Regions from separate parts of the Mus musculus genome. Here regions 2 and 3 are each reported to be linked to region 1. The links are microRNA targets in miRTarBase. Many come from high-throughput screens and were not tested one by one. Region 1 holds a microRNA gene; each other region holds the end of a gene's coding sequence.

Evidence for each region. The annotated mature microRNA mmu-miR-3067-5p reads AGUUCUCAGGCCCGCUGUGGUGU and lies in region 1 at 4,386-4,408, opposite strand. An mRNA with a match to its seed (bases 2 to 7 or 8) in the 3' UTR can be bound and repressed. Matches are read on the target gene's strand: a 7mer-m8 pairs with bases 2 to 8, a 7mer-A1 pairs with bases 2 to 7 and ends in A, and an 8mer does both.
Region 2: the mRNA of E4f1 is a reported target of mmu-miR-3067-5p. Seed matches in the 3' UTR shown: 7mer-A1 at 2,520-2,526.
Region 3: miRTarBase lists Vldlr as a target of mmu-miR-3067-5p. Seed matches in the 3' UTR shown: 7mer-A1 at 2,983-2,989, 7mer-A1 at 4,121-4,127, 7mer-m8 at 4,566-4,572 and 7mer-m8 at 4,842-4,848.

What each region holds. Positions count from the first base shown.
Region 1 is chr12:81,162,607-81,170,572 of GRCm38, reverse strand. It overlaps Mir3067 (microRNA 3067), which reads right to left and starts at 4,422; the gene lies at 4,339-4,422. Smoc1 (SPARC related modular calcium binding 1) reads right to left here. Exons shown (of 13, transcript NM_022316.2): 8 at 2,874-3,066; 9 at 2,262-2,344; 10 at 282-387.
Region 2 is chr17:24,441,324-24,446,773 of GRCm38, forward strand. E4f1 (E4F transcription factor 1) reads right to left here. Exons shown (of 14, transcript NM_001301784.1): 7 at 5,191-5,357; 8 at 4,623-4,832; 9 at 4,123-4,231; 10 at 3,799-4,016; 11 at 3,453-3,651; 12 at 3,224-3,366; 13 at 3,091-3,153; 14 at 2,455-3,014. The coding sequence ends at 2,658. Dnase1l2 (deoxyribonuclease 1-like 2) reads right to left here and starts at 1,778. Exons shown (of 8, transcript NM_025718.3): 1 at 1,684-1,778; 2 at 1,317-1,476; 3 at 1,082-1,170; 4 at 910-993; 5 at 729-829; 6 at 535-647; 7 at 173-424. The coding sequence starts at 1,460.
Region 3 is chr19:27,246,521-27,251,970 of GRCm38, forward strand. It overlaps Vldlr (very low density lipoprotein receptor), which reads left to right. Exons shown (of 18, transcript NM_001161420.1): 16 at 490-570; 17 at 1,337-1,506; 18 at 2,585-5,450. The coding sequence ends at 2,620. The region is part of intron 3 of Gm35438 (a long non-coding RNA gene); the gene reads right to left. Among named protein-coding and RNA genes, the nearest start is that of Vldlr, 32 kb to the left of the region's middle.

The sequences.
Region 1 (7,966 bases):
TAATGGGATTCTAAGAGCATGACACTGTACCATGCATCCTCTGGATGAAAACCATGTTGACTGGCTGAGATGTGATACCTCTTGACTGAAATGCTCCTATTTCTCAAGGTGTGGTTGCACACGCCTGTGATCCCAGCACTCAGAAGGCAGAGGCAGGAGGATCACAGCAAAATCATGGCCATTGGGGGTTACACATGCTCCAGAGAAAAGCAGACTTCTCTCCCAGGCCCCCCTTAGTATCTGAAGAATCCAGGGCCACCCTTTCCTGCTCACATTCTCACCTCCCACCTCCAGTGGGCGCTGCTGAGTTAATGGCCTGAACCATGTCTGTGGTGAGGGCATCCAGCAGGCTGGTAATAAATTCCATCTTCTTCCCTTCAGGACAACCTAAAAGACAAGAGGAGATTTGAGGGCAGAACATAGGTAACTTACCAAGGCAACACCTTCCTCAGCTACCACCCCCTCAGAGTCTTTGTCTAGCCAGAGACTGAGGATGTGTTCAGTGCTCAAATGACCTCCATAGGCCTCCATTATCGTCTATGCATAAGCCACACAGAAGCACCAGAAGGTAATTAAGCTTTCAGCTTGCTTCCATCCCACAGAGTTCTGCTGAGGACCAGCGCAGGAACTACGGAAATGCCAGGAAGACAACAGACAGGGCCCTCCGCCTCACAGAGTTCACCATAATATCCTGGGCCAGTGTACTCAAGACAATAACCAGGCAGGCACTGTTCTGATCTGGGGACAAGAACTGATGTCAAGGAAGGACAAGGAAGGGGGGAATCTGTGGTTTAAGTGAACATATCCAAGCGCTCCTCTTCTTGCCCCCCCCCCTTTATCCAGTTGAGATGGTAACTGTAGACTCCTCTGTGAGGACCCATGAGTTCCTATTCTTGTTTCATTATTTCAGCAAAAGCCCAAGCACAGATGCTCCTGTCTCAGATCCATGCCACAAGGAGAAGCATTGCTGGGGAAACCCTGCCCTACCACTGCAGAGATGGGAGCCCTACTCGCCTGCATCAAATGTGCCCTTAGCATAGCCACAGCCCCACCCCTACACCTGCAGCAACTAAGCCCTCATTTCTCCAACCTTCCAGGTCTTAAACACGACTTCTCAGAGCAGTGTGGACTCAGTAGGTTCTTGCTGTCTTTCCCATAGCACCTCACTCTTCTCTGGAGGGAACCTGTCCTGAATCTATATGTGCATGTCTTCCTTTACCTGCCTATGACTTGTCTCCTCTACTCTGTGAACCTCGTGTCTTTGAGGACTAGATTAAGCCGTATCTGGCATGAAATAGAAGGGCCATTTCCGTCTGACCTGGGGTGGCTACAAGAAGGCACCCTGGCCTCCCTGCCTCAACTTTTGTGACACTGTGATTTCTACTAACCTCACACAGAAAGTCCCAGACTTTCAGGACTCCCTGCTTCTCACTTTGGAGTCTTGCCAGGTAATAGGAAGGTGGCACCAGTTCCCACCAGGACAGACCTAATCTTGTACTGAGTAAAAACAGCTATCAATCACTAACTTAGCTCCCACCTACATAGAGGCATGGGGGTGTTTTCTCTAACAATGCTCTCCTGTGTGTGTGTAGGTCTAAGACAGGGTCACCCGTGAGAAAATTTCTCTGTGCTTAGGCTTTTTCTAGAATGGTGCACAAAGAAGAGGAGCTTAAGAGGATTTACAGGGGAAAGTCCACAGTCCACATAGCCTGTATTTAGAATTTTTATTGCCACTTGGAGTTTCCTACAAATAAGGAAAAACCCACCCACAGCATCAATTTTGGGGTCTTGAGCTATTGCCGGTATGTCTCATATCACCCCTAGTGGCCACCCTGTGTCATCAAGGGTCATCATATAAGCAATCCACAGAACAGGTGACAGACACCAGACAGGCCCCTCAAGGAAGCCACTCCCTGTAAGCTATCTTTGCTTTACAGCCTCCCAAAATGCCATCCCCACTTCACTGACTTAGAAAATGACCGTGACACTCCAGTGACAGAGCTCTAAGTCCCTGACTACATTCTTAAGACAAGGAGAAAAGAGCAAGGGAAGAGAACAGTGTTTTCAAGGGCACAGGACTGACTGGCTGTAGATTCCACAGTTTCCAGGTCTGTGCTCCTATGATGAGCCTTCCCAGCATGCCTTGCTCTGTGCTGCCAATTGGGAAAACAGACATAGAGGAGAGAGTGGGACCTGCACAGGGGAGAGATGAGAAGCCCAAAGAACTGCCGGTGCAGCCCGGGCAGGGCTGTGTCGCCTACCTGGCAACTCCCTGTCCTTGAAAGGGTCATCGGCCTCTATGCTCTTGGCTCTGGCGTCACTCTCGCAACTTGGCATCACATAGCTTATGGGAGAGACAGAGAAGTGAGGCGTTTTGAGGGGGTTGGCAACTGAGTCTTCTTCAGCCACTACTGCCCAGCAACAACCTGTGCTTTCACTAAGCCTAGAGCCCTTGGGAAGGAAAGTAAAACAGTCCCTGAACTGTCTGGAAGCTACAAGACAATCCAGTACACATGCTCCCATTGAGACATGTTCAGGCATGTCATTTTAACCACGCAAGCGTGATAACAATGCCATCTCTAGTCTGCACGTGGATTTGGGGGGGGGGGTTGTCACTTCAAGACCAGGGTGGTGCATAAGATTTTCAGCAGGGAACTGGTGTTGAGAGAGATTAAGTAGGTTTCGAAAATCCACAAATCGGTGGTCAGGATCCAGGTCCTCCAGGCCCTTCCGCTAGACCCTCATCTGCTTTGGAAAGGAGACTTCAGTCTCCTGTGACTTGAGTCTGTGAGAAGTAGGGCAGCGAAGACAATGAAAGCAGAATAACCAGAGGCGAGCCAGTCCCTGTCTCAGGATGCTCAGAGCGGGCTTACCGTGTGGAAGTCCCCGGCAATGGGCGCCCTGTGTCTACTAGGACGCACCAACAGTAGCCTGTGGATTGGTGGCATTGCACCGGCTTATAGAGCCCACCAGGAGCACACTCGGGGATCACAATGCCCTCTCGGGGATTCTGCCGCGCCTCTTCCAGGGCACTCTGTCTTTCCTGGTCACAGGAATGGACTTTCTCTGTAAGATAAGATGCAGCTCCTGGTGATGAGTACTCCTCCTCCTGTCCAGAACCCATAATAAAGAGCCAGGACCAGGCCTGCCCCCAAAGAACCGTGAATCATCCCCGACACCCATGTCTTGCATGCTGCCAACGTGAAAGAAAGCCCCAGAGGGCTGGCCGGAGCCTCCCCGTGGCTGTCTACTCTGCCAGAGACTCATCAGCACTCTCACCACAGAGGCTCTCTGTAGCAACAATCCAGACAGGACATCAGGGCTACTCTGAGCTGCAGTGTGCTCCAGAGCTGGAATGTCCCTCCAGTTTTAGAGTTGTCCCTGCCGACACGCCGGCTACAGGCTTCAGAAGAGGCAATAGCCGGACTGCCCTGCAAGTGAATGCTGGATTGCCTATGCAAGGGGGCACTCCCTAGGCCAGGCATGCAGGACAGAACCACAGACCACCACCCTTGTGCAGGGTAATGTTCCACACCCCGAATGCGAGTGAAGCAAGAGCCAGCCCTGGTTGCTTTCGCCCTCCAACACAGGGAGACAAAGAAAGCTAGTGGGCTTGAATCTAATATTCATTAATGCTCCCATTAGACAGGAGTAGGAACAAGGGATGCAGAAAGGTATCTGTAGTTGGCATCTTCAGGAACGTGTGAACACGTCCAAGTAGCCAAGCCAACTCTCTCCAGAGCCAGGCAGAGGCAGAGACAGAGACAGTGACTGGGGCCCTATGCCAGGTGTACACACTCGCAAGAGCCCCACACCTATCGGACGCTTTCTTGGACAACCCTGCCCAGTAAATCACCCCATCTTCTCTTCCTGATCTTTTTTTTTCCTTTCTTTGTTTTGCTGCGGGTTTTATTTTGAGGGCTAGGCGATGTTATTGCTTGATTTTAATTTTTTTGTTTAACTGCTTAAAAAAATAAAGCGTGGCATTTGCTTCCTTACCGCAGACAACATTTTAAAAAGAAAACCCGTGCAGCCCTTATGGCCCCTAAAGTTAACCCCTCCACCTTCCTTAGATCTTGGCAGGCAAACACCAACACGGCTTCAAGGGGATTGCACCGGGGGCTTGGGGTAGATCTCTCAGATCCAGTTTGGTAGCCTCATTCCTCCCTCATATTTCATGCCATGAAAGAGCTGACAAAGAAACAAAGGGAGAGGGAAGCAGCTTTTACTGGCACCACGCTTGTGTAACGACCTCTGACAGGGGCTTTAAATTAAGACGCTCTAGGCCAACCCCTCCAGCCATAAATCAGACTTCTGCAGATGCAGGGGGAAGAGGAGGCACACCTCCCCCTCTCCCAGGGCAGCCGCTTGGTGAACCTAACTTCACACCACAGCGGGCCTGAGAACTGGGGAAGCTGGGGCAGGAGTTGGGCTGAAAGAGACGCCGACCGGGGGGCTTGAGCCCTGTGGATGGATTTCTGGAAATCCTTCGGTGTCTATGACCACCTGTGGAGAGTTAAATCATAAAGACAATGAAGCCCCCAAATCTAGAAAAATGCAGTGTAGCATGGACTAAGGAGAAGACGAAATATAGGGTTTGTCGCTTTACTCTCCACTCTGAAAGTCTGGTGTCTTGTAAGGAAGATCCTGGCATGACAGAACAGTTGGGCTGGCAAGATGGGCTGTTTCTGTAAGTGAAGTGCCTGCCACAGAAGCAAGGGGACTTCAGGTCAGACCCCCGGCTTGTGGATCCAAAGCCTGGCATGGGCACCACAGTTCCATAACCTCACCAACTGACGGAACAGATGGATCCAGGAGCATCCCTGGGGCTCATTGGTCAGCCATCCCTGCTGAGCTCCACACTAAGAGACAGTGTCTCAGAACAATAATAATGATAATGATAATAATAGTAATAATAGTAACAATGCTGAGACCTTACCTTCATATGGATGTATATACATGTACACCCTAAACCACATCCCCACATGAACATATGTATACACACACAAAAAAAAAAACCATTGAGAAAAGTATACAATTTGTCTTCCAGAAAGAAAAGATATCTCTTTAATGGTTTTTTAGGATTAATGATAAGAGCAAATGTTCCTGAATGAAATGCACCAGGCCATAGTAGGGCTTTGCCTGTCTAACCTCTCAGCTCACCTACCTGGGGCACTATGATGATCTACACTTTATAAACAAGAAAAAGAGATTCTGAAGAGGGTGAATTTTCTTAAGTTCACTCAGAGAGAAAACTGAAGCTCCACTGGAGCACTCCAGACAATCCAGCCCACCTTGCTAGCCTCTGGCCACCTGCTCTTCAGCGAGAAGTTTTTACAGCGGGCTCCTCCAGGTCAGACACCTAACAGACACCTAAGATCTGCATTCAAGAGCAGACATGTTCGTGCCCACAGCTCTTCTGACAGAGCATCCCTTCTCAGCCTGGGCACGTGAAGCTTGGACCTCAGAGTTTCTGTCTCTTTGTCTCAGAACTAGAAAACCAAAACCCAAATTTGTACTTCACCCGTTATTACATATTCATCTACACGGTGAATGGGAATAGCAAACATTTATTTGAGTACCTACAAAGTGACAGATTTGGTGATGGGCCTGCTACGTATATTAACTCAATTCACCCTGTTTCCAATCTTTGGAGGCATATTAACACCAGGAACACAGACTGGCTAAATAGTTAGATCAAGATCATGAATTAGGGATCCGAGGCTGTGGCTCAGTTAATACAGTACTTATCTGGCATGCCAGAAGCCCTGGGTTTGATCCCTAGTCCTGCATAAACCAGGTGTGGTGGTGCATATCTGCAATCCCATCATTCACGAGATGGAGACAGGAAGATCAGAAGACAAGCCTAAGTTACACTAAGAACTATCTAATAAGAAAGAAAAACAGAGATGGGGGTGTGGGAGAGGGAGAGAGAGAAAAGGGAAGGAAGGAAGGAAGGAAGGAAGGAAGGAAGGAAGGAAGGAAGGAAGGAAGGAAGGAAGGAGGAGGGAGGGAGGGAGGGAGGGAGGAAGGGAAGGAGGGAGGGAGGGAGGGAAAATGAAGGAGAGAGGAGGGGAGGGGAAAAGAGGGAGGAAATCATAGCTAGGAGAAGGCAGAGGTGGGATCCCAGCCCAGCCCACCCATGTTCTTTACACGCTCTCTACAGTAGCATCTTTCATTGCTACAGGCTAATCCAAGCTTTATTTAATCCTATACTTTCCTTACACGTAACAGTGCATGATCACAATAGAGTCTCCAATGCCTTTGTCTCTATGCCCTGTGTTGGCTAGTCCACATGGACGATGACTGATTTTAACTCACAAAAGAACAGTGTGGTGAGAAGCCCAGGCCTTCAGAGGGCTTGCAGCTTCTGCTTTCATAGCGTGCTCTTATATATTCTCTAGCCTGCTGAAGGAGCAGAGGGAAGTGGTTTGGTCGGCTAGCAACATGACCCAGGTCATCTTGGATGTTCCAGTCCTACCTGTCCTCCATTTAGAATAGCCCCAAAGCCAATTCATGTGAAACTAGTGAGACAGCTATTCTATCAAACAGACCGATAACATTGGCAAGAATAAATTATTTTTCTGATACACTAGTAGGTTTGGGCTAGCTTGTTTTAAACAATGAGTGCAAAATATCTAGCTAGAGCTGCTGAACTCTTGGTCACTTTAAGCCAAGGGGATCCTCGTAGCCCCTGCAAGCCCTTCAGTCAGTACCCTGGGTGCCATCCAAACAGTGATGAGTAAGTTCAAGGGAGTGGAGCCTCACTTATGTATCTGAGGACCCGGAAGCCAGTCCATCCTTGGAGCCACACTGGACCTTGTCAGTCACCTACCACATGAGTCTCACCATCCACTTCTCCCAGTTTTCTCAGGCTGGCTTACAGAGTGCAAGCTGGGATCAATTTCGAGGGTCTTTTTAACTACATTAGGTCACAGAGCAAGGAACTGTGCTGATGTGAAGTATGCCATTCCAAAACACTTCATCTCTGCTTAGGAAAATTGGTGAAATGGAGATAAGATGGAAAGGTCTGGCCCTGTAACTATGAGCATGAGCCAGGGCTACCTGGATATGCCTGGAAGACATAACCCACACCGTAGGAGAGCAAGCTTGGGTAACCACACCCACTTGTACACTTCCATGTATGTCCTTCCAACCTTTCCCTGAGATGGTGCCAAGCAGGGAGAGCTTAGTCAGTCTCCATTTGGCAAAGAAACCTCTGACTCAAAGAAGGAGCTCAACAGAAAAGTATCTCAAGTTGGGAACACACAAAGTCCTGGCCTTGCCACCAGAAGACATACAGTGTGCCTTTACCCAGTCACACGTGCCAGGGAAGAGAGAAACCATGGGAGAACAACACTGAGCAAGGCTGGAGGCAGGGCTGGAAGGGCAGGTTGAGTGAGATGAACACAAACCCTGTGTGCGGGGCCCAGAGCCCAGGTCGTTATGTGTCGGCCAAAATGGGATCAGCACAGAGGACGTCACAGTCTGCTAAGACTGGCTCAAGTCTCAGAATCTCACAATTACCCATGGTAATTAGGAGCAGAGAGGGTGGACAGCATGAAGTCTTAGCTAATCCCTTAACGTTGCTGGGGCCCAGAGTTTATCCTCTCTTCCAGGACTCTTCTCCTTCCTCGTCTTTTTTTTAATTATTATTTATATATATATATATATATATATTTAAAGCAAAAATGGCCAACAAACATAAACATTGCAGGATTCAGGCTGGTCTAACTTTCAGGTTACTGACTTCAAGAGAAGAGACAGAGGAGGAAGTGAAAAGTTTCTGAGTAGCCAACACCTAAACACCTTTGAAAGTCAAGTCATCAGCAACCAGTGGGCTGCCCTTACTGTGGTGACAGAAAACAGAAAGTTCATGGTGGAGAAAGATGGAGAGATGGTGGAGGGGGTTGTTGCCAAAGAAGGACTATATCACTATATCACTCTCCAGAAACACACACACAGA
Region 2 (5,450 bases), not on the chromosome of region 1:
CAGAAGTGTGCCAACAGTCCCTTCCTGGGGGCTTGGCACTCTAAGGACCCTTGGCGATAATTGCTTTTGCTAGAGCAAGCATCAGTGTAAACTCCCAGCAGGTGAGCATTTCTGTGAGCCCTCTCCTGAGGGGGCTGACTAGTATGTCTGCTGGAGCCCTGTCCACACTCACCTGGGTCTGATCTAGGTCAAATTCCTCCTGAAAGTTGTGAACTGAGGCTGAGTGGGGCTTCAGGCTCCTGCGCAGATGGGCGCCACTCACTACAATCCGGTCATAGGCACAGTCTGAGTTGCCCACTGTGGTGTCCGCACTGTCTGGGATGAGCCATTTAAACACCTCACTGCTTCGAAGGCGGATCGATGGCCAGTCATGCGCCTTCACGTACTTGCAATCGGCATTAAAGTCACCCAGAAACAGCATGTCCTGTAGGCAAGCACAGCCAGTACATCTTAGCAGTGCTCAGTAGTCCAGACCTCTGAGAACACTTGTGGTCTGGGACGTGAGTTGGGGGCGGGGGGGGGGGTGTTGCCTACATCAGTGTTCCACTTGTCAATGACATCAAGGTACACATCGTAGAGCGCGTCGATCTCTGCCACCGCCTGGTGTGGTGCTGCATGGAGGGGGATCAGCACCAGCTCCTTGGTGGCTGTGGAAGGTGGGGGGATATGAGGGTCAAGGGAAGCCTGGAAGAGGTAGGCTTGTCTGGGAGAGGGCAGTATCAACTCACCACAGCTAGGAACTGAGAATTTGACCACAAAAGGCTCCCGGCTGAAAGCGTCCTCTGGGTCTGGATACTGGTACGTGCTCACCACTGACGCTACATCTTTCCTGGGAGCAGCAGAGAACAAGATGTCTGGAGCTGCTTACCTCTGCCCCAATGTGTCCCCTCCCCGCAACCCGCCTCTCACCTGTAAACAAACAGGTACATTTCCTTGTACTGGTCACGTCCGAGTGGCTTGCTGCTCACAAAGCCGTACTCGTGCTTGGACACTCTGCGGAGAGAGACGCCAGTCCCTGGGTCAAGGCACCGAACCAAGCTTGTGATCTTGGCTGGGGTTGTGGGGCCCAGCCCTGCCACACCTGTTAATTTGCTCCATGAGCAAGGACACTGCACTTAGGTCTGGGTCTCGTACCTCTTGCACCAGGGCGATATCATAGCCGGCCAGGATCTGGAGGAAAACCCACAGATGCACCGTCCCAATCAGCCTAATTGCCCAGAGCCTAGCTCCTGGTTCCCATCTGCTCCCCACTTCCCAAGCCCTCCCTCACTCACCCTCCATTGCTCCCAGCCCATCCCCACCCCACTTGGCCTCACCTGTGCTATGACACTGCCACAGTCTGGATCTGACACTTTGTTGTCTCCAAAGCTCTGAACATTGAAGGCTCCAATCCGCAGCGCTGTGGCTCCCATGACCCCCAGTGCCCAAACTGCTGTCAGCGGGGCCCAGGGCCAACCCATGACAAAAGCAGAAAACCTCGAGACAGAAATGTCCCAGAGTAACACCAAACCATACCAAGTCACAGCATGTCTGTAACCAACTAGATCTGGCACCCAGGATTGGCCTGCAGCCCGACACACTCCCGTGTTTCTCCAGTGTGTATGGGGACAGTGATGTCATTGCAAGGCTGGAAAGATTCGATTTCCATGCAGTCTCTGGCCCAGCCCAGCCCCTTGGACTTACCTGGGCTGTGAATAAAATATCCCAAGTCAGTGAGATTCAGTCCAGACTGAGGGCCTAAGATGGCTCAAGATGAACTGCAGTCTTGGACCCACAATAGCTCTGATTTTAAAGCACTCAGGTATTTGATGCCCTGGACCAGGAAGGGGCTGGGCTACAATGGGAACCACCCCTTCCATGGGGTGGATTCCAGAACTGGCTCCCATTCCAGAGACCCAAGAGGGCAAGGGACAGAGCATATGCTAAGCCATTTCCATTAACTGAAAATCAGGGCAAAAACCCCTAGCCACCTCAACACTATACCGAAAGGGACAGCCATGCCCATGGCCAACTTCTCTTTCTTCCTAGAGTTGTATCCCCTCAGGGAAGCAGGCTGAGAAATTAAGAAAGCCCAGCCCTAGCCTGCTCTGCCATCTCCTGCTGCTTCTCCAACACTGGCCCATCACAGAAGCAAGCATCAGCTACTCGGGCTGACCCAAGTTCCTAGGTCTCTAGACCAACCTCATAGCCCCTGGCAGTCCCAGATTTGGAAGCTGAGAAGGAACACCTCATACCCTAGCAGACCTGGGAAAACTGGAGTCACAGATCCAGCTAGGTAGGGTAGGAGGCTGTCTGTCAACATGCCAGAGACACCCACGCGCCTTGAGGCGCCACCAGGGCTAGAAGCCAAGAGTGTTGCTAGAGGGTGGCCTAAGCAGGCAAGTGTGTCCAGAGGGTACCTATGAAGGCAGTTGTGCCAGCCCCAGAGGCTGCCTCTACCCAATCACAACAAACTGCAGGTTTTTTATGTTTTATTGTAAAGCAGAAAACAAACAAACAAAAACAATCCCAAAACTGCCTGTTCTCTCTCTCTCTCTCTCTCTCTCTCTCTCTCTCTCTCTCTCTCTCTCTCTCCTTTGGCTGCCTGAAGTCTTCTGACCAGGCAAGTGCGGGCAGACACTCAGGGTCCTCGATCTTCCACAGCAGAGGCCCTCAAACTATACGATGACCGTCTGTACCTCAAGCTGGCCCTCTGGTGAAGCAATGACCAGCTCTCCTCCGTGCTCAAGGATCTCTATGTCCTCTGATGACACCATTGTCACAGTGGCCTGTTCAGTACTGTTTGGACCTGCCCGGGCTGTGAGCACAGTACCCTCACTGATCGCTGAAGCCAGTGTCATGGCCACCTGCTCAGTAAGACTCTCAGGAGTGGCAATGGTGATCGTGTCTGCAGCAGTTGCCTCCGAACCCAGTGCTGTCTCCTGGTCCATGGTGACATTCTGCACGATGATCTGGTGCCCAGCACCAGCCTGGTGCACGATCTGCTGGACCACCTTCATGATGTGACTGTCCACCTGCAGAGAGCATGGCTCAGCCTGAGGGGCTGCCCAGCAGTCCGGTGATCCTCCCATCCCTCACCCAGACCCTCACCTCTGTCTGCGTGCCCTCAATGATCTCGGTGGCTTCACTGGTCTCTGTGTCATCTGCAGTGGCCTGGACAGTTGACTGGAGGTCATCATGGGCTGTCCCGAGTCCAAACCTGCCCCACCATCTTTATACCTACCTCAATAATGTACTCTTGGGTATCAGCTACCACAGACGAGAACTCCACCAGCACGGTGTGGGGGTCTTCTGCAAGCACAGTGGCAGCCGCAGAAGGGCTCTCCTCAGACACCAGCAACTCCTCCACTTCTAGCAGGCAGCCCCCTGCCAACAGAGATGGTCAGCCCAGTCTGGGCCACTTGACCCCAGCCCTCACGCCCTCACCCTCTCCTGCCACGTGTGGCTCAAACCTTTAGTGCGCAGGTGCCGGTTGAGTGTGCCATGCTCCGCGAAGCCACGGCCACACTTGTAGCACTTGAAAGGTTTCTCGCCTGTGTGGTGCCTCACATGCCGCACCAGAGAGCCCTTCTCCCGGAAGCCTCGGCTGCAGAACTGGCACACGTGGGGCTTTTCTTCCAGGTGTGTCCGGAAGTGTACTTGCTGGGCATTCTAGGGAGACCTTTCTGTGACAGCCTGCTCTCCACCGTACCCCACCCCCAGGTCTGAGGCCAAGAGTAAACAGACTAGGCTAGGAAGAGGGCATTAGACAGCGGAGGGTGGTTTGGGTATAAGGATCTCTGCAGGACCGCAGCCCACCTTGGTTTTGTAACGCTTGCCGCACTGGGGACAAGGGAAAGGCCTCTCGTCTGAGTGAACACGCCGGTGGCCCCGCACATGAGCGATGGTCTTGTAAAGCTTCCCACAGTCTCCACAACGGAAGCGGCGCTCGTGCACGTGCACCTCCTGGTGCTTCTTGAGCAGGTAGGCTTTGGGGAAGGCCTTGCCACACTGTGTGCAGGTGAACGGCCTCGGCGCTGAAGCCATACCCAATGTCAGGGCATTTTCACCACCCACAAGCCTACCAGCTGCCAGCCCACGGGACCACCCTACCCACGGACCCCTCACCTCCCTGCTACCCACCTATGTGACCTCTCTTGTGGGCCTCCAGCGTGGCTGCTGTTGGGAAAGTCTCACTGCACTGAGGGCACGGGTGGGTCCTGGGCACGGTGGCGGCCTCACTGGCCACCTGCTGGGAGACCACAGACCAACCTCTAGTACCTACTGTAAGCTACGCTTCAATGGTACCAAAAGCAACAGTCAGCCCTCTTCCCTCCAGGCTTTAGGTAAGGGAGTTAACAGTCTAGAGAGCAGTAAAGCAGAAAGAAATGCTACTCTTCAAGCCAGGCATGGTGGTGCAGCCTGCAATTCCAGTACCCAGTAGAAGCAGGAGAACCAAGAACTGAGGTTAACACTGGCTACACTGTAAATTTGAGGCTACCTGGATTACACTAGACTGTTTCTCAAAGACAGAAAAAAACTAAATAAAAATGAATGAGGCAGCTAGCAGCTCCCACCCCCACATGAGAAGCAAACATTGGGTCAGCCCCGTCAGAGGGAGCAAGACAGTAACAGAAACCTACTGTCTCTATCTGCTCCACCTTCAGCAGAGGCAGTTCAGGGGACCCATCTCCCAGGCACTGGGGACTGGACCCAGAGGGAGGGGCTGGCTCCAGAGCACTCTCCTCTCCAGCAACCCTCTCAAGGACGATGCCAGAATTCTGCATGGCCTGATGTAGCAGGTTCTCACGGCTGTTCTCACTGGAACAGGGGAGCTCCTCCGAGTCTGGGGACTATAAGGGAGATAGAGGGAGAGAAGGAAGGAGGCAGGCCTGTCAGGCAGCCCAGCACAGGGCACCCATTCCCCCACCCCCACCCCCCGGCAGACTCCCCACAGGCCCATCTCTGGAGCCCCATGCTGCACAGCCAGCTAGCTGACTTTGTTCTCATTAAATTCCACCCCGTTCTCCCTAGACTTGAACTCGTACTCCCTCGCTGCTTCCCTGCCTTGACAGGCCATCTACTAAGCTCTCCCCACAGCCTGCTGTGCTTTCTTGGGGTGGGAGCAGGAGGTGATCTTGCTCTGGTCCTAATGAAGGCAGGATCTGACTACAACCTGGCCTGTGGCCAAAGCTCAGGAAGATCACCCACCTCTGGGGTCAGGGCTTTCATGCCCAGGGGAAGCTCCTGCATCTGGACGTGGACTTCATGGATGACAGTACCCTTGGCATCTGTCACCAGGTGAATCACAGGTGATGTCTCCATGGGGTCTCCTGCCACTGATGATGTCACCGTCCCCACAGTGGAGGCACTGGACCCTTTAAGGCAGAGTTCAATGAGTCCTTGAAGAGCCTGGTAGCCAATTTGGGAAACCCCAGTCCCAGGCACTCAGGCGGGCTGCCTCCCCCCCA
Region 3 (5,450 bases), not on the chromosome of region 1:
ACTTCTCTGGACTACACAGTCAGCAACTCAGGAACCTTGGCCTTAACCGGGTTCTTGGTTTTTATAATCCAGGTACTTCAACTCCTGTGACTTACAGTGAGACAAAAGATATCAACACAACAGACATTCTACGAACTAGTGGACTGGTTCCTGGAGGTATTGGGTCCAGCACTGCAAACTGTTAATCTCAACTAACTGCCGCTTAAATAATTAGTGCAGCTTTTAACTACTGGTTCTGTCCCAACTGGCTACTTGTGCCTAAAGCCCAAAGATTTAGACCCTGCACATCCTGGATTTCTCTTGACTTATTTAAACCTATAGGTTTAATGTAACTCAAATAATTATAAGCCTAAGTTCTTCTGATATCTAATTATAATGGATACTAGAAATCAATATTAAGTACAAAGGTATAAGGATCTCTACCTAATTCGTAGATGTCTAAGTCTTAATTCAAATCCTTATAGACTGATTACTTGTATGTCCTTGTAGGGATCAATGTGACCACAGCAGTATCAGAAGTCAGTGTTCCCCCAAAAGGGACTTCAGCTGCCTGGGCCATCCTTCCTCTCTGTAAGTAAATTTGCTTCTCATATAGATTTTTATGGACAATTTTAGTTCATCTACAGCCACCTTCCAGTGGTCTCTTTTGCTGTCCTAACACATGTGACACTGAATTCCATTTACCTCCTCACCTACCTGGCACCTACTCTTCAGTGTCATCTTTCCCTTGATGGTGAATATCCATCAGTTATCTACAAGATCTTATGGGCTGTTGAACATGTTAACCTTGCTTATCCCTATTTAGAGGAAGTATCTCCAATAAGGGTTTCATTCCAGTCCCATTTATTGTATATAGTCATTCACAAAGAGGAGAGACGCAAATGGTCAAATGCTTTTTGAATGAGCTGTAGAATTCATGAAGAGTAAATTAAAAGTAGTTAAGTATTTTCAAACTCAGAGAAAAGCATCTCTAAAGCCACTGTCAAGCAGGTGAATTTGAAGGCACTTTGCTTTACTGTCCCCTTCGACTGAGCTTACTGGTTGACCTAACACACCAGAACCACTTGACTAGCATGCCAAAGGCTTCTGTAATTTTTTATGTAGCTGGCCTTGGGTTAGGGCTCAGGACTCTATACTTCCCTGGGTGTACTTCCCCCAACTCCAGTGCAAAGATTCACACAACCACTGGGCTGAATTTATTTCAAAACTTTGTCTCATCTATATTCCAACTTCTAGTTGTCCAAGCTCCCTAAAACATGGAACTGTTGTTAGTGTTAATTCCCATAGATCCATAAACATTAGACTCCATTTAGTCACCTCTGATTTTTTTTTTCAGTGCTCTTAGTGATGGCAGCAGTAGGTGGCTACTTGATGTGGAGGAATTGGCAACATAAAAACATGAAAAGCATGAACTTTGACAATCCTGTGTACTTGAAGACCACTGAAGAGGACCTGTCGATAGACATTGGTAGACACAGCGCTTCTGTAGGACACACATACCCAGCAGTAAGTATACTTTGTCTATATTCACTGGCTTGACATCAGTTGCTTCCAAGGAGACTAGAATCACTAGCTATGGCTACCTGGGCTGGGGAGGAGCATTGAATCCCAGACATTTTATCCAATGACTGCTTGTTAAATACTAAATGTCTGGTCCATGAGAGCAGTCAGTTAATAAGCATTTCACCCACAGAGGAAGGGGAGGTAAGTCCTACCTGGCCTTATTTTAGATGATAGAAATGACATATGAATAGTGTATGAACCAACAAGCTCCTTTGTAAACTTTGATTCCTTGCATACTAATACCTAAAGGTAAATCAGTGTGGACACATGAGAATTGTGGATAGAGGAGTTGACTGAAAGTCAATAGCTTGAGTAAGATTCAATTAGCCAAAAGTAATAAGTGCTTTCCTTGGAGAGGTGCTCCATCCCACCCAGAGAGACAGCTTTCTACAAGAGCAACAACAGCAATCGCTTGTTCTTCCACTAAAAACTCAAGTACATATTTGGCCTCCACTTCAGGACCATGCTGACTGAACCATGATGAACATGAACAGTGTCCTTGCATGATCTCTGGTGGAACAGGGAGTAAGGTTCAGTGCATATCATATATCTTTTCACATTTGTCTTTAAGATTTATAGTCCGTAAACAGAATCAGTCAAAGTTTTTTTCCAACCAAGTAGGTACAAGTTAAATATCCCATATTTAAAATACTTGGTGTCCAAAGTGTTCAGAGGGGCATGGATTTTGAAGTTTTTGCATACATAAGAAGTTTGAACACAAAATCCATTTGTTTTATATACACTTTACATGACATTTTGATGTATGTTCATTTTGACCACAACCAATAATATAAGGTTAGATGTAGAATTTTTCTTTTGTAGTGTCATGGTGATACTCAGAAGATTTCAGACTTGGAATCCCCTTTTGAATTTTAGATTTTCAGCTTGGGGTACATAAAAAAAATAATAATGTTATGTTTCTGACCTCCAACTCTTTTGGTCTTTAAATGGCCTACTCAAAAGCAAAGTCCACTCCGTAGAGTAACCGCCAAGCTCACCTGAACCTTTGTCTTCTCTGCAGATATCAGTTGTAAGCACAGATGATGATCTGGCTTGAGTTCTGAACAAATCTTGGTCTATGAGGTCTACACCAATAACACCCTACTCTGGAATGGTAACAGAGCCAGCGCTGAAGTCTCCTTTCTTCCTCCCATCTGGAAGAACATCAAGATATCTTTTTGTGGATCAAGTTTGAGTACTTGATCATTTTTATATTACTTTTGTAAATATTCTTGGCCACATTCTACTTCAGCTCTGGATGTGGTTACCAAGTATCTGTAACCCTTGAGCCCCTAGACAGTATTGCCATCTCTGGCCAAATATGCACTTTCCCTAGAAAGCCATATTCCAGCAATGAACCTTGTGCTATAGTGACTCCCACCTGTACATACATTGTATAGGCCACCTGTACATATCCCAGAGAACAATCACTATTCTTAAGCACTTTGAAGATATTTCTATGTAAATTATTGTAAACTTTTTCAATGGTTGGGACAATGGCAATAGGATAAAACGGGTTACTAAGATGAAATTGCCAAAAAAAAAAAAAAATTTGTAACTAATTTTGTACGTATGAATGAAATCTTTGACCTCTGTCGAGGTTTGCAAAGACTGACTTCAAACTACTGTACGTTTTTTTCAAGTGCTAAAAAAAAAATTAAACCAAGCAGCTTAACCATGGTTTTGATTATTCCTCTAAGATGAGCTTCTGGGAACAGTATCACCAAATGTCCCAAACATTTAAGCTAGAGTTAGTTCTTGATGTTGTATACCTAAGCCCATAATCGAGCTAGTATCTTGGATGGTATACAACCAAGAACCAGCTAAACAATTAGATACAGTTTAATATTTGTACCTCCAAATCTATCACTTCCTTCCTTCTTTCCTTCCTTCCTTTCTTCCCTTGCTGGCCTCAAGCTTGCAATGCTCCTGCCTCAGCCTCTCAACTTCTAGAATTACATGGCTGCACCACTTCACCCAGCCTATGTAGTTTTATTTTATAAATGACACTGTCTTCCAGAATTCCTTTCTTTAACAGATTTCTTTTTCTTACTTTTTTTCCCCATGATCTAGAAACACATGCCAAGATTCTCATGAGTTTTCTTACTTTGTCATCCATGTTCTTTTTCTATTTGTAGGTCAAAGACAAGTGCCTTCTATGGCATGGGAAAGGGCTTTATTCTTATAAGAGTCTGGCCTGTCTTAACTAGAAGACGGGTAGGAAGGATACTAGGTAGGCAGCGTTGCTGAACAATCTAAGTTGTGGTTCTTAGCCTGTCCCAGGAACAGCAGCATGGGAGGCTAGGAACTTAACAGAAATGAGGATTCTTGGTTCTCACCCCAAACCTACTTAATCAGAAACCCCAGTAATACAGACCAGAAAACAGTTTTCACAAATTCCTCATGTACTTTGAATATAACATAAAGTTCGACAAAATCTATTCTAATGTGGCTTTTTATGGAGGGTGTAACTGTAATGTATTCAAAATTGTCAGTGTGGTGGCATCAAATATGTAGAGATGGTCTTTCTGTGGAGAATTTGTGGAACTTTAGTGTGGAGAACAAAGAAGGAGTTGGAGATGAAAAAGTGGTACTGTGTCAAGGGAAGATTTTTGTGAGTTTTCCATCATGTTGGCCATCACATCCTGACTGAAGTCTCAAGATTCCTGGAAGTGAAGGAAGACACAAAGCTTAAAACTCAGATGAGATGCTCTGACTCCATCGTGAAGTGGTCACTGAAAAAAATGTTGCTGGTTTCTTGGGATGAAAGAACTGAGCCAGCATCTGAAAAAGATCATTTCATTTAAAAACAAAAACAAAAAACCTTGTCTCTTCTGTAAAAATCCAACATTAGGTAGAACTTGCTGTAATTTAAAAGTCACAAAGTCATTTATAAAAAATGAAGTGATTAAATATTGACCGAGTATTGTTGAGTATTGCTAGAGTAGCTAGTTATCTGGTGAGACTGCTAATTGATTCAGTGTATGATAGTTCACACGGGATGAGAACCTTGGCCTTTATCACCCAAACAAGAACTCTCTATGAGATTGGTTGACGTGAGTTGGTTGAGTCTCTGGAGCATCAGTTTTCAACTTCTGGATCGCAACCCCTTTGGGGGTGGGTAGGTCACATAACAGATATGCTGACTAACAGAGATTGCCATTATGATTTATAACAATATCAAATGTATAGTTATGAACTAGTTATGAAATAATCTTATGGTTGAGGGTCACCACAACATGAGGAACTATATTAAAGACTCGTGGCATTAGGAAGGTTGAGAACCACTTCTCTAGGGCTCAATGTATTAGATAACTCACTAAGGGGTAAAATATGAAATATCAAATCCTAAAAAGGATATTTATAATTAAAACAGCCTGTCATGAGGCAACTGTGAGTGGAACATCTGGGAATTTGAGAAGTATCTGCAAAGTATAGAAAAATCAACAGATTTGTGGACCCTGGTAAAGAAGTTCAGCCAAGTCTCAGTGAAAAATGTTAAGAAGTTGATGCAAGCTGCATGCTCCTTGTTAAGATGCAGGCTTTGCATATCACCAGGTCACTTAGAATATTCTAACAGTTACTCTGAAGATGTGTCATGATTTGTGAGCCTTTGGATCTGGGTAAATAGAGGACAAAACTAATTCTTTGAGGCTTTAACTTGGGCACTTGCCTTGATTCCTTTTATTATTGGAAGTCAGATACCCCCTCTCCAAAGTGAGCAGGCAGGTTTTAAACAGCTTAACTACTGACCAGTTATAAGACTCGCTTTTCAGTCATGGATCCTGCAGAAATCTGAGACCCACCCATATCCTAGCTTTTAACTGTCTTCGCTCCACCCTCAAAGATGCTACTGGGCTTCCTGTGCATCGCATTGCTAAAGAGAA